4 linked regions of the Saccharomyces cerevisiae S288C genome follow. Changing the gene in region 1 together with any one later gene gives a genetic interaction. Each region holds a gene or a part of one and is shown in the gene's direction. Other genes may lie near its edges.

Evidence for each region.
Region 2: mutations in YSR3 (region 1) and WHI4 together harm fitness more than expected from each alone (negative genetic interaction), as found in Saccharomyces cerevisiae (2 studies listed by BioGRID).
Region 3: mutations in YSR3 (region 1) and AIM6 together harm fitness more than expected from each alone (negative genetic interaction), as found in Saccharomyces cerevisiae (2 studies listed by BioGRID).
Region 4: mutations in YSR3 (region 1) and CPR7 together harm fitness more than expected from each alone (negative genetic interaction), as found in Saccharomyces cerevisiae (2 studies listed by BioGRID).

Annotation. Positions count from the first base shown.
Region 1 is NC_001143.9:533,272-536,851, reverse strand, and holds YSR3 (sphinganine kinase YSR3), read left to right. Parts: upstream 1-1,570; coding exon 1,571-2,785; downstream 2,786-3,580. Other genes in the region: DYN1 (dynein heavy chain), read left to right, coding at 1-1,205; MRS4 (Fe(2+) transporter), read left to right, coding at 3,388-3,580. UniProt on the Saccharomyces cerevisiae protein: Dihydrosphingosine 1-phosphate phosphatase required for efficient ceramide synthesis from exogenous sphingoid bases. Involved in endocytosis and calcium-mediated signaling.
Region 2 is NC_001136.10:53,891-58,318, reverse strand, and holds WHI4 (Whi4p), read left to right. Parts: upstream 1-1,972; coding exon 1,973-3,922; downstream 3,923-4,428. Other genes in the region: HBT1 (Hbt1p), read left to right, coding at 1-1,054; septin SHS1, read right to left, coding at 4,219-4,428. UniProt on the Saccharomyces cerevisiae protein: Has a partially redundant function to WHI3, a dosage-dependent modulator of cell size.
Region 3 is NC_001136.10:28,543-32,342, forward strand, and holds AIM6 (Aim6p), read left to right. Parts: upstream 1-2,114; coding exon 2,115-3,287; downstream 3,288-3,800. Other genes in the region: ADY3 (Ady3p), read right to left, coding at 1-233; GUD1 (guanine deaminase), read right to left, coding at 443-1,912; PHO13 (4-nitrophenylphosphatase), read left to right, coding at 3,754-3,800.
Region 4 is NC_001142.9:489,158-492,855, forward strand, and holds CPR7 (peptidylprolyl isomerase CPR7), read left to right. Parts: upstream 1-1,923; coding exon 1,924-3,105; downstream 3,106-3,698. Other genes in the region: Arf family guanine nucleotide exchange factor GEA1, read right to left, coding at 1-1,655; RAV1 (Rav1p), read right to left, coding at 3,221-3,698. UniProt on the Saccharomyces cerevisiae protein: PPIases accelerate the folding of proteins. It catalyzes the cis-trans isomerization of proline imidic peptide bonds in oligopeptides. Plays a major role in negative regulation of the heat shock transcription factor (HSF).

The DNA of each region.
Region 1 (3,580 bases):
AAAAATTTAAAATGATTATGGCTATGACGATGTTTTGTTTGTATAAATTCGACATTGAAAGTGAACAATATAAAGAGGCAGTTCTAACTATGATTGGAGTTCTCTCTGAAAGTAGCGATGGCGTACCAAAACTAACCGTAGATACAAATAATGATTTGCGGTACTTATGGGACTATGTTACAACCAAATCGTATATATCTGCGTTGAACTGGTTCAAAAATGAGTTTTTTGTTGATGAGTGGAATATCGCGGATGTGGTAGCCAATTCCGAGAACAACTATTTTACAATGGCAAGCGAGCGAGATGTTGATGGCACATTCAAATTAATCGAATTGGCGAAAGCCTCGAAGGAATCGTTAAAAATCATCCCGCTAGGGTCTATAGAAAATCTAAACTATGCTCAAGAGGAAATATCAAAATCTAAGATAGAAGGTGGTTGGATATTATTACAAAACATACAAATGTCGCTATCATGGGTGAAAACGTATCTGCACAAGCATGTTGAGGAGACAAAGGCGGCAGAAGAACATGAGAAATTCAAAATGTTCATGACATGCCATTTGACTGGTGATAAACTACCTGCCCCATTGCTACAAAGAACTGATAGATTTGTGTATGAGGATATCCCAGGTATACTAGATACCGTCAAAGATCTATGGGGTTCTCAATTTTTCACTGGTAAAATTTCAGGAGTATGGAGCGTGTATTGTACCTTCCTATTGTCATGGTTTCATGCCTTGATCACTGCCAGGACCCGATTGGTTCCTCATGGGTTTTCCAAGAAGTATTACTTTAATGATTGCGACTTTCAATTTGCCTCAGTGTATTTAGAGAATGTATTAGCCACCAATTCTACCAACAACATTCCTTGGGCACAAGTGCGAGATCACATAGCTACGATCGTATACGGAGGAAAGATCGATGAAGAGAAAGACCTTGAAGTGGTCGCTAAACTTTGTGCGCACGTATTCTGCGGCTCGGACAATTTGCAGATCGTTCCTGGGGTACGAATCCCACAGCCTCTTCTTCAACAAAGTGAAGAAGAGGAACGGGCAAGGCTTACTGCCATACTGTCTAATACGATTGAGCCTGCAGATTCACTCAGTTCATGGCTTCAATTGCCAAGGGAATCTATTTTGAATTACGAACGTCTTCAGGCTAAAGAGGTGGCTAGCTCAACTGAACAACTTCTTCAAGAAATGTAGCCTTTTCAGGTACGCGTGTCTTGCTTGTCCGCGGTTTTCTCAGTGGACGTGCCTATTCTGGGTTCCTCTTGTTTGATGAGACTCTGATATCTACAATCCAAAAAAATCGGTTGTAGGAAGATGGCGTGCTTCTAATTAAAGTAACGTGGGGACTCTTATTTAGATACTTCCTAACTACGAGCACGTACGTCTAGAATTCATGTTATATAACATAATGATTTTTCCTTATTTTCTTAGTTTTTATCAGCCTTGCCTTGGCTTCCTTCTCAACATCTAGTTGAATTGATAACATGACAAAAAGAAGTTAGGCAGTGGTAGTCTTCAAAAAAATATACAAAATAGCAAGCCTGTAAAAGAATTTAATTATGACCATTATTCAGACGGTTACTGAATTGGGTGTTACCGAGGACACCATTAAGGTTCAGATGGCTCCTTCCGGCGGCAAACACCTATTGGCAGATCCCGGTAATCATCCAGCGGAGCATTTTGAGAGCCAGATGTCGTGGCTAAGGTTTCAAACAAGGCAGTATCTAACTAGATTCACAGACAACCAATCAGATTTCGTACATTCTTTACAAAAAAAGCACAGAACGCCTTTTAGAGACGTTTATTTCAAATACACTTCGCTTATGGGTTCCCACATGTTTTATGTTATCGTGCTTCCCATGCCTGTGTGGCTTGGATACCGCGATTTAACACGGGACATGATCTACGTTCTTGGTTATTCAATTTATTTGAGTGGCTACTTAAAGGATTATTGGTGCCTACCAAGGCCAAAATCACCGCCAGTTGACAGAATCACACTAAGTGAATACACTACGAAAGAATATGGTGCACCCAGTTCACATTCTGCTAACGCTACTGCGGTAAGTCTATTATTCTTTTGGAGAATATGTTTATCTGACACACTGGTATGGCCAACAAAGCTTCTTTTACTGAGTCTGGTGATATTTTACTACTTAACCCTGGTTTTTGGTAGAGTTTACTGCGGTATGCATGGTATGCTGGATTTATTTAGCGGCGCCGCAGTTGGAGCTATCTGTTTTTTTATAAGAATCTGGGTGGTGCATGCTTTACGAAATTTCCAGATTGGTGAACATCTCTGGTTTCCCCTTTTGAGTGTAGCATGGGGCTTGTTTATTCTGTTTAACCACGTCAGGCCCATTGATGAATGTCCTTGTTTCGAAGATAGCGTAGCGTTCATTGGCGTAGTCAGTGGGCTGGATTGCAGCGACTGGTTAACCGAAAGATACGGATGGAACCTTGTATGTAGTAGGTACGCATCATGTGGTTCTAAGGTGTTCTTGAGGCCTCTGGTAGGTGTCGCTTCTGTGATTGTTTGGAAAGACGTCATTAGCAAGACAGCTGTCTACACGCTGTTAATTAAACTACTCAGATTTCACGATGATAGAAGCGAAAAGGTTCATTTCCATAACGAGACAAGTGAAGAAGAAGAGTGTTTATTGTACAGCGGTGTTTCCAAAGTGGAAATCGTCGGAAGGTTTCTCATATACGCAGGTATACCTACAACCGTCTTTTTGCTATGCCCAGTTTTTTTCACTTGGACAAACTTAAGGTAGACTCTCGTATGTATGCATTTAGTGACTTATACATATATATTGTATCTACATAACACATCATTGAAATTCACCCCGATGAGTACATATTTGGAATTCAGCATTTTTTTTTTCTCGCTTTTGATAGCCAGCCCATCTATGGTGCTTACTAATGTATAGAGAGGATATAACAATGAAAAATCAAGATTTCAGGCATGAGTCAAGACTTTAGCTCTTTTATATACCTTCAGGATGTTCGTACCATGCGTCGCAGGCCCTAGATCGGCGTTTTGGGTTTTACACATGCATGTTTGCCGTGGTTCACCCTCTTTTAACCCACAGGAATCGCTACTTTGACACCCCCGATCGTGTCTCTTTTCGGTATTTTGGCACCCTTTCTTGAATGAGAGCATGGCGAAGACTGAAAGGCAAGAACACCCTGCTATCTTTTGCCTACCATTGGCGAACGTCATCTTATCTAAGTAGTAAGCTGTATATAAAGATATTTGGAGGTTTTATTGGAATCTCATAGAATTTTCACTTTATCAGAGGTTTATTGACGAAGACTTTCGTGAGAAGTACAAAGTGAAGAAGTAAAAAACTCAACCGAAATATCAGTTAATATTATGAATACTTCAGAACTGTCAATAGCTGAGGAAATCGACTACGAAGCTCTTCCATCACATGCTCCGCTACATTCCCAGTTACTGGCAGGAGCATTTGCAGGTATAATGGAGCATTCTTTGATGTTTCCAATAGATGCTCTGAAAACCCGAGTGCAGGCTGCAGGATTGAATAAAGCTGCCTCTACAGGGATGA
Region 2 (4,428 bases), on another chromosome or scaffold:
TACTTCTGGTAACAAAAAATTATCTGATTTAAGCAAAAATAAATCAGGCCCAACTCCAACGCGTTCTAATTTTATTGACCAAATTGAGCCAAGAAGAGCAAAAACAACACAGGATATTGCATCCGATGCCAAGGATTTCACCAATAATCCGGAAACAGGTACTACTGGAAACGTAGATACAACCGGAAGGATGGGTGCAAAATCCAAGACCTTCAGCTCGAACCCTTTTGATGATAGTAAAAATACAGACACTCATCTCGAAAACGCTAATGTTGCTGCCTTTGATAATTCCAGATCTGGAGACACTACATACTCCAAATCAGGGGATGCTGAAACAGCTGCTTACGATAATATTAAAAATGCGGACCCTACATATGCCAAATCACAAGATATTACTGGAATGACTCACGATCAGGAACCATCATCAGAACAAAAGGCCAGTTACGGTTCTGGCGGCAATTCCCAAAATCAAGAATATTCTAGCGACGATAATATTGATGTCAATAAGAATGCGAAAGTTTTAGAGGAAGACGCACCGGGCTACAAGCGTGAAGTAGATTTGAAGAACAAACGTAGAACCGACCTTGGTGGTGCCGACGCCTCAAACGCTTATGCTGCCGAAGTTGGTAATTTCCCTAGTTTGATTGACCCACATGTCCCAACATACGGATTTAAAGACACCAACACCTCTAGTTCTCAAAAGCCATCTGAGGGCACCTACCCAGAAACCACTTCCTATTCAATTCATAATGAAACAACTTCTCAGGGAAGGAAAGTGTCGGTGGGTTCAATGGGTTCCGGAAAATCAAAACATCATCACAATCATCACCGTCACAGCAGACAGAATTCTTCAAAAGGGTCTGACTACGACTATAATAATTCTACTCATTCAGCCGAGCACACTCCAAGACATCATCAGTACGGTTCCGATGAGGGTGAGCAAGATTACCATGACGACGAGCAAGGTGAGGAACAGGCTGGTAAACAAAGTTTCATGGGTAGAGTGAGAAAAAGTATTTCTGGCGGTACTTTTGGATTTAGGAGTGAAATTTAAACACTTCTCGATTAACAAATTCCCAGTATTCTTTGAAATCTATTTTTCTTCCTCAATTGAATTTGAATAACTGTCTACGCGGACTCCTCCTATCTACAACTACAACAAATTTTAACCACTTTATTACCACTTTCCTCTTTCATTTATTTTTGTCTTTTATGTTGTCAATTTACTAGTATTTTTTTTTTTTTCATTTACGTTCAAGGTTTTTTATACTCATTTAACTTGTCTTAGGTTATTTATATATATACCTATATATTTATATATATATATATATATGTATGTATATATTATTATCACCAAATGAGAAATAATAGCTAATTTGATTTTTGATTATTTAAAATATTGGTTTGTTCTTTCTGCAAACATCTCGTTTGGTACGATATTAGTGAAAAACGATGTAATTATCAACACGTGCATTACCCAGCGTTATATTTTCATTACCCGGACGTGGTGTTTTTTGTTTTTTAATGTTTCTTAGACTTAAAGAGGAATGGAATGGTTATTTGGATTAAATCATAGAAAAGTACAATTAAGGTTACGGCAGGAGCCTCGAACCGGTAGTTTTACAGAAAATAGACCCATCTGGTGGCAACACTAAATCATTGAAATAATAGCAAACAATTGTTTCAAAACTCCTCCCATTTGGATCTCATCTCAATTGTTTTTTCCTTCTTAGTTAAAAGTTCACGAAATTAGGAAATCTAAGAATCAAAATATAATCCGCTGTTATTTCTGCGTGTAAAGGTTTATCTTCTACTTGTGTCATATTTCACAAATTATCACTTTGCTAAAACAAGGGACTGACTTCTTTCTTTATTTTTCGAGCATTTTTCAAAAAAGCAGGGTTTTTGAAAACAGGAACCTTAGTTGCCACATCTACGCTGAAAAATAACGCTTAAGGTTTCTCAATTAACAATGTCATTAGTGCATAATCAGACGAATTTAAACGAATCCAAATTTCTTATAGAAAGGGCATTTAGTTCTAGTTCAGAAACCGTTCCATTATCAAAGGAGGCAACATATCCCATGCCAACTGCATATAGTTTTTCCGCAGTTAGGAGCAACAGCGAGACTAACATTAAAAGAGAGAACCCGCAAGGTTTTGCAAAAGAACCTATTATGACTTCTATGCTTCATAATTTGACCATGTCCACGGGGAAAGGGAACGGGAATGACGTCAATTCTTTAGCCCCACATGATGTGGATGTTGGCCCCTACTGTCTTTTGCTGAGGAATTTGCCAAAAGACATTACACTAAGAGAGTGTTATTGTATATTTTCACTAGCAACTGGGGTGTCAAGTATAGAACTAAAAAGGGATGATAGAGAACCCTTTAATGACAATGAAAAAGTCGTTGTGGTCAAATTTGGATCCCTTTCTTTAGTAACCCATTATGCTAATATATTAAACTCGAAGTCTGAGATTTTTGGGCCTAGTTTCCCCTTTAGGTCTCACATTGACGTAGTAAATGAACAAACGCAGCTTCCAGTGAGTTTTCAAGAACATGTTTCATCTGGCACTACAAATAGTTCTCCAAAGAATTACCAATTGTCGTCCAGTGCGCAAAATGAAATTCAAAATCAAAGTTTTAATACTATATCATATGGAAAAACTAGTTCCTCTCCATTAGGGCCTTCAGCGGCCAAGCCAAGGCCTTCATTACTTTCAGAGAGATCCCTCCGTTTCTCATTCAATGACCCATTCGGATTGGAAACAATCTCTCAAAGAAAAGAATCCGTACCCTTTCTACGAAATAGCATCTCACAACATGATTTATCAAACGTAACCACCACACCAGTTCCAGCAGGAATGCCACCTCAGAAGGACGCTGGCAAGTCACTTTTGCTACTAGAAAAGGATGAAATAAATGAAAGTATTTGGAATGGTGATGAATTAGTTAATGATGTTGGTAATTCTTCATTTGGTGCATCTTTACAAGAGCCTCCGATGTCATCTACGCCTGTGATGGAGTGGAATGCTTCCTCAACTGCTAATATTCCTCTTTTTCAATTATCTAGCCAAGAAAATCATCAGTCTAATCTGTTGCCTCCATCCCACCATTCAATTAGCCAGGATGTTCCACATATTCAATCACAACCTAATCTGAACAATTCAGGAGTAATACATTCCGCGACTTCTCTACCGCATTATCACTTATTGAACCAAATTAATGCTTCAACTAAGACACAAAGTATTCAGCAGAGCGTTTCGAATGTTCCTTCCAATTTGGACCTGAATCTCCAAACGGAAAATGGCCACCCACAATCTTCTGCTCCTAACGGGTCTTCAATATTCAACAACCAAAAGGTGAATCAAGGCTTTTTAGTGAGTGAACAAGACACCAGTACAATATCACGACAGAAAGAATGTTCTTCTACAGCTTCTGCCTCTGCATTTTCGAAAAATAACGAAACAAATGTGGCAGGTTCCACAACTATTTCACAGGCTGACCTATCACTACTAGCCAAGGTGCCACCACCAGCCAATCCCGCGGACCAAAATCCTCCTTGTAATACTCTTTATGTGGGTAATCTACCTCCGGATGCCACGGAACAAGAATTAAGGCAATTGTTTTCTAATCAGCAAGGTTTTCGTAGATTATCCTTCAGGAATAAAATGAACTCTCACGGTCATGGCAACGGTCATGGCCATGGTCCAATTTGTTTTGTAGAATTTGAGGATGTTAGCTTTGCCACTAGAGCATTGGCAGAATTATATGGTAGTCAACTACCTCACCCCCGCCCTTCCCTCAACAACAAAGGAGGTATCAGGTTGAGCTTCTCTAAAAATCCATTAGGCGTTAGAGGCTCAAACAGTAGGAGTAAATCTGGTTACAGCTTTAATGGAAGTTACGGGAAATCATGATAGATTTAGTATTGCTTTATTAATTTTCTTTTGCTTTACTTTCTGACCTTCGTTTTTACTTTTTGGATTTTGCAGTTTTTTCATGCTCTACTTATTTAGTTTATGCCATATTTAAATTTATCCCTACAATTATTTGACACTGTTTGTATGTGTGTTCCCTTCTTGAAGGCTGTGCTGAGGAAACTTTGTAGTTGGTACATAAATTTTTGATCAAAAGTAAAAATACCCCCGTTCGGTAACTTATACATTTATTTATTTATTTATTTGCTCAGCTTTGGATTTTGTACAGATACAACTCAATCTCTACCCGATGCAATAGAGGCTAAATCAGTATACGTGTCATTTTTTTTAATTTGGCTCCTTGTGCTCTGTTGTAGAGAATTGATTGAAGATGATGAACCGTTTAGTTTATTCTGATTTATTAGTTTTTCCCTCAATTTCAATTCGTGTGCTTTTCTTTCTAATTCTTGAATTCTTTTTTGTAATTCTTTAGCTGACTGGGCCTC
Region 3 (3,800 bases), on another chromosome or scaffold:
AGTTTTGATATAATATCAGAAGAAATACTTTCCTGCACATTAGATTTTTCAGTGGACGTAGGTACTTCAGAGTCTATCCAAGTTTGTGAACGCCGCTCTCGAAAAGGTTTACTTTCTGGAGACTTAGTTAAAGTGCCATCAGTAACATGTCTCATCTCCCCCTGCTGGTCGCAATCCGAGTTTTGTTCCTTTAGGGATTCAGGCTTATTCAAAAATGCTAACCAATGATTCATATTCGGAGAAGTTTGTTGTATTCAACTATCCCATTCAAAATCCCAAACCGAGTTTTGCAATTCTTTCACTGGCAAATCTCTTTGTGTTCCTAATCTTAATATTGTACAATGGGCGGCTAAAGCGCGATACGCAAAAGAAATTTGTACATATACTCAAATTACTCATTAATACTTGGAACAAGATATAGTAGCCCTCTAAACATATACAACTAAATCTGGTAGACTTGCTGGCCGGCTACCCAAACTTTAGTGGTGTTGCGATCATCACCGTTAAAGAACCATTTTGCGATTATGTCTTCATTAGTAAGCAGCGGTGGGTTCTTATAAGGGTCTTGCCCTTGCTCTTGCTCTTGCTCTTGCATTTGATCCTTCTCCTTTAGCTGCCAATGAAACATATCCACGTTTGAGCCGGGAGCATTGGTATCGATCATTTGAGCGTCAAACTGCTTACCGACGTCAAAAGTCCCCAAGGTCTCATCCATACGCAAGACTTGTGCTCCGCCCATTGTAGCAAGAAATAGGCACTCGGAGACTGAAAGTTTTGCATGATCAGTTTCTCTCATTGCCAAATGCCTTGAAACTGCAAAGGCCTGCCTTCCGGTGGTGAGTATGCTACAAGAATGACCGGCTGAAACGTCGGTGCCTAGACCAACCTTTATGCCCTGGTCCAGCAACCATCGAACCCTACACTCTCCAGAAGTCAGAGAGGAGTTGGAAATGGGACAATGAGATATACCACAGCGACGCTGTTTAATCACACGCGCTTCGGCATCTGTTAGATGAATACAATGTGCCAATACTGTTTTTTCTGTGAGCAGCCCATATTTGTCGTATACATCAGTATAGCTCTCACATTCGGGAAATAAATCTTGAACCCACTGTATCTCCTCCTTATTTTCCGACAAGTGGGTTTGAACGTGTATGTTTTCATCCTTGACTAGCTTGGACAACTGTTGCATTAGTTCTCTAGAACAAGAGGGCGCGAACCTTGGTGTCACTATAGGATTTACGAGGGGATCACAAATGGTTTCCCGTATGTACTTAACAACTTTCACAGTGCTTTCAAAGGAAGTTTTAGTATCTTCAATATAATACTCGGGACCATTGGTATCCATGCACACTTTTCCAACAAGAACACGCTGCCCCAATAAGGAGCTTAGTTGAGCCAAGAGCTTAGTGGACTTGAGATCAATGGTATTATAGTAAGCCACAGTCGTTGTACCGTGAGAAAGCGTCTTACTTATTACCTTATTGTAAACTTCTCTCGCAATATTTTCGTTTGCTAGTGCGGCTTCTATGGGGAAGGTATACTTCTCTAGCCAATCCAGCAGGGTAGAATTCCCAAATACGCCGACATTTGGATATTGCGAGACATGGTTATGCGTGTCAACAAAACCTGGAAAATAAAAGCTGTTATTTCGAGTCTTGTCTTTTCCAATTATGTCAACCACCGTGACATCCTCTGGTGATAAGCTACTATCGTGATCTAAACAATCTTTGACAGGATCGAGTGAATTTCTGTTCACAAACCTGATGATTCCGTTGAGAACTCCAACAGATGTTTTCTCTCTGATTCTCAGCTCTCCTAATTTAGGGGTATCTACAAAGGTACCAAAAAAAACTAGAAACTTTCCATGTTTGTCGTTGAATTTATCAAATAATAAATCACTTTTTGTCATATCCTCTTCAAAGGACAGCCCAATTCATATATTCATTCAATAAAATGTTGTTCTTTTGCCAATGGCCTGTTTTAAAATCCTTATCTTGTCTCCTTTTATAATCCGAAACTATCCAAACTTCCGAGTGATAAATCGCCGGATAGGCATAAAATATGACTCGAGATAAGACCAACAAAGATAAGTACCTCGGTTTAGTTAAGCGATGTTAGGACTGAAAGGGTGTCTAACTATTCTTATTGGATACGTTATTGCTGTCTGTGCTTTGTTTTCCAGTAGGGGAAGAAATCCTTCATTAACTGATTGGGAAAAGTTAAAGGACCAGAAAATATCGAATATTGATAACTTTGGGTTGACCGGTCAACATCTTTTAGAATTTTTCCAGGAAAACTTGCCATTTCTAAGTTTTTCAGAGGAAAAGTATCGTCACAAACACGTTTCTTTATATTATGATGTATTCAAAGAATATATCTTACGTCGTGCCAGTTCAAAAAAGTGTTTACCAGTAGACTCTGCTATCGCAAAGTTGAACAAAGATGTTAACCCAATGCCAGTTCACTCCCATAATGACTACTGGAGGAAACTTCCGCTTTTTGAAGGTCTGGCCTATGGTGCTAGTAGTACTGAAGCCGACGTGTGGAATATAGATGAAAAGATCCTAGCTGTGGGTCATAATGAAGCGTATTTGGACCCAGTTGAATTGACATTAGACAAGCTATACACTGGCCCCCTCTTGGAGATTTTAGACGAGGTGAATTGCCAAGATTCAGACGCCGATCGCAAAAATGGTGTATTTTTCAACTCTCCAGAAACTTCACTCTTCTTTTATATTGATTTCAAGTCGGATGATAACGAACTAACTTATAAACTGCTGATGGAGCAATATTTCAAATCTCTGATTGATTCTGGATATTTGACATATTACGATATGAAGAAGGATGAAATTATTTGGAGACCTGTTACTGTGATACTAACGGGCAACTACCCGACGTCATTGGATATTTTAGACAATGGAAATGATAACGGCTATTTTGAGTCAAGTCAAAGGTTTGCATTTCTAGATGCGCCGTTGTTAAGTTTGGAGCCCAAATACTCAAAGCTATCTGTAGCTGCGACGGTTTCGTTCAGCCAATTAATGAAACATTGTGGTTCTGATCATTGGAAAGTATCGCTAAGAGGTCGTATGGATTCGAATGAGATCAGTTGTGCTAAAAGCATAATTGATGGTGCTCACGCATTGAAACTTAAAACAAGAATTTGGGGAGCCCCAACCTGGCCAGCTAACCTGGTGGAAACTATTTCTCGCCAAATTATTCATGACTTGGGTTCCGATTTACTTAACCTGGACAATTTATTCATGGCATCGTCATTGATATAAGTGGCTTGAGCTGTGGATAAGAAAAGCCATATATTTATATAAACATTTAGATATGAATAGGAAGTAGATTGTTCGACGCAACTACCCGTTCAAGAAGTATAATGGGGAATGGTCTCATCTTCCCTCACAGGATATAGTTCTCTGAAGAGATACATACGTTTGTGTATACTATGCTTCTTTATCAACTCAAGTTTTGTAGAGGAAGACGTTGAAGATGGTGATGTGACATCTTTACTATTCTCCAGCACGTTTTCAGTATTTACTTAATCGTATATTAATGACGTCCCTTATCTATTAACTTTCCGGTTTTTCTTTTTTTCGGTGAATGTTCTTTCCGTTTTAGTGAATTTTTCAATTGTAATTGACGCAATCGGTTTATAACAAGCAGACATAAATATCAAGCTCGAGCCAAATCACAAAAAAAGCCTTATAGCTTGCCCTGACAAAGAATATACAACTCGGGAAAATGACTGCTCAACAAGGTGTACCAATAAAGATAACCAATAAGGAGAT
Region 4 (3,698 bases), on another chromosome or scaffold:
AATGTTTCAACGCATAATATGAATTCAGTCTTTCTGTCTCTCTGTTTCAAAATATCAATTTCTTTCTGATTTTTTACGAATTCTGCCCTATCAAATCTCTGCAGATCATTGTATATATTTTCAATAAGCGAAAGTACACCTTCTAGGCAAATTGGAGGAATGTTGTTAGAGGTATTAACGGCCGCCGCTGGTAAAGAAAATTTAGTTAGCTCTTTTATAAAGTCAATCGAAAGATCCGACCTATCCAAATTACAATCGAAATTTACAAAAAGTTGCAAAAAGAAAGCGGGAGAGTGAATCCACAGTATTGAAAGTTGTTCAATAATTAATTCCCTGATTGCAGGTGGTTTTTGCTTACTAACGTCACCACTGATTGTGGTATCCTCTAGAATTTCGAATATTCTCCTTAAAGTCAGTTCAATCTGCATAGGCAAATAATCACCCAATATCACAACCAAACTCGTGAATAATTGTAAAGTTGCTTGCAAAAGAGAATACTGGGTAGAACTTTGTATAATGAATAAAACACTTTTAAATATTGGATCAGAAATTAAGCTGAATAACCGGGGATATAGAGGAAATTTGTCACCGGATATTTCAATGGCTGCATTGATTAACTGTAGAGATAATTTCATGGCCGAAGTTGTGTGCTTCATTCTATTCTCTGGCATAACCAGTGATAACAATAATCCAAGATAATCCTTTATAACTGTTATTCCGTAATTTGGCTCGACATTTTCGGCTTTCTCAGCCGTTTCCTCATCATTTTCCTGTTCCCTTATGACCTGTTGGACTGGCTTCTCATTTTTATTATCGTCTGCAACAGCACTGTCATCATCAGTGCTACTCAAATCGTTATCAGAGGTAGTCGTACCTATAATGTCATCCTTCAAATTATTGTCGGTGTAACTTTCATCATTGATATATTTTTCTGTTTTTGTAGGTGGATCTAGTAACTTCAACTTTGTAAATAGTTTAACGGTTATCCCTGCAATTGTAACTTCAGCCGTTTTCCTCAAAACCTCGCTTCTCTGCGTATTACATGCCAAGGAAAGTGTCGTTTGTAAAACATCGTAGATTATAGTATCGGAGAGATAGTCTCCAAAGGAAGAGGTTATAATATCGCGTAGTAATGTTACAACTTTTAATAAAACAGAGTCGTCCGAAATTTGCTTTGAAGCTTCAAATCTACAATGTGTAAGCGCAACAACGGTTTCCCTAACGGCAATTTGAATATCATTAAATGTTTTGTTTATGATTTTTAGTGTAAAAACTTTCTGCAACGAGTCCAGAGCCAGAGAAGTAGTATAACCCGATACTGAACTAGCGCTGACTATTTCTAAAAATGGTTTCAAAAGTTCCAAGGCGTTTAATGAATCTAAACCCTTCAAGTCGTTAATTTTTAGCCGCAGCTGTACTAAACCAGATATCAGAGGATCATGATAGCTAGAAGTAGGCAAATTGTGGAAGCTGTCAACAAACGAATCACTTTGACTCAAGAATATATCACTACCTCCGCCCAGCAACGCGGCCACACTTGTTTGTGATTTATCTCTGGACTGCTTGTTCATGGCAGAACAAAGATTGATGCACTCTTTGACAATCATCGTAGCTGGGTTCACGGCCAAAACAGTTTCCATTGGCACGTCGTGCATTTTGTATATGAAGCCGTATTAGTTAAACCTGGGCGCTTCTTACCAAAGTTGCGAATTAACTTAACTAAGATGGTTCAATTCTCTGTGTAAAGTATCCATATTAAAAGGTCTTAGTTCCAACATGTAAACAAAGAGATCTATATATTGTTTTTTTTCCAATGCGCTGAGTGATGAAGTGATTAGAAAATCATAAAAATGAGAAACTGCAAAGAAAAAAAAAGTCGTTATTCTGAAAGGTGTTCGGCAGCAACAACCTACATCCAACGCGATGATTCAAGATCCCCTTGTATATTTAGACATCTCCATTGATAAAAAACCAATTGGTCGTATTGTCTGCAAACTTTTTCGTGAGAAGGCTCCTAAAACAACAGAGAATTTTTATAAGTTATGCGCTGGTGATGTTAAGAGTCCTTTGAAGGATCAACAGTACCTGAGCTATAAGGGAAATGGTTTTCATAGAGTCGTTAAGAATTTTATGATCCAGGCAGGTGACATTGTCTTTGGGACACAAAAGGATTCCTCTTCATCGTCTGTTGGAAAAGGTGGATGTTCAATTTACGCTGATAAAGAGGAAGTGAAAACCGATGATGAATCTTTCTGTTACGGGAATTTTGAAGACGAAAACTTGGGAGAGTTTGTAGAACCCTTTACCTTAGGTATGGCCAATTTAGGTTCTCCAAATACGAACAATTCCCAGTTTTTCATAACTACATACGCCGCACCTCATTTGAACGGCAAGCATTCTATTTTTGGGCAGGTGGTTCATGGAAAATCAGTGGTTCGCACTATAGAAAACTGCAGGGTAGATTCTGATGGAGTCCCTGAATCAGACGTTAGAATCAGCGACTGTGGAGTGTGGGAAAAAACTATGGGTGTCCCGCTTTACAACGCTTCTAATGACCAAATTGGCGGTGACGTATACGAAGAATATCCAGACGATGATACACATTTCGGTGACGATGATTTTGGTAAGGCTCTTGAGGCTGCTAATATAATCAAAGAATCTGGGACGCTCTTATTTAAGAAAAAGGATTACTCTAATGCCTTTTTCAAATACAGAAAATCTTTAAATTATATCAATGAATACATGCCTGAACCCGACGTAGACAAAGAAAGAAACATCCAATTTATTAACCTAAAGATGAAAATTTACCTAAATTTATCTTTGGTGCTCTTTAATCTGGAAAGATACGATGATGCTATCATGTATGCTACGTATTTATTGGAGATGGATAACGTTCCTAACAGAGATCAAGCAAAGGCTTATTATAGAAGAGGTAACAGTTACTTAAAAAAAAAGAGACTAGACGAAGCTTTACAAGATTATATTTTTTGTAAAGAGAAAAATCCCGATGACGAAGTTATAGAACAAAGAATAGAATATGTCAATAGGCTCATAGAAGAGAATAAGGAAAAGACAAGAAAGAATATATCAAAGTTTTTCTCCTAATTAGTTACTTGTAAGGCTGAAATTTGAGATTAAATAACCCAATATGAAAACACTACATTAATAAGATGTAATTATTTTTATTTATAAATCCATTTATTTGATAAAAAATATGATATCATACAAAGTCATCTAGTAAGTTCTTGGTAATAGCAGATTTTTTTGGCTTCTGTGGCTTTTGTGATGAAAGATCATCTAATATGTCCTTAGAGAGTTTATCTTTCCTATTTTCTGAGTTGTCTGTTTCACCCACAGAGTCGTTTGGCGCTTTTGGAGTTAAATTCTCTTTATGCTGAGAATATGAAGGAGAGACGAACTCATCCAGTATACTTCTAGGTGCAGAAGAAGAACTTTGAGCGAGGGAATTTGAAGAAGTGCTATTTGGTGGTGGTTGCAAGAAGTCGTCTAATAAGCTATTTGGTAACTTTGGATTAGGTGACTCTATATCTGAAGCACTTGGCGAGCCAAACTTATCAAAAAGACTGGGCCTCATCCTAGCAGTAGAAATTGGTTCAGACGCCATGGCGCCAATAGCAGAATATGCTCTATCCTTGGTGGGGCTCTTTAATAGCTTCTGAACTGGTATGGAATTTCTT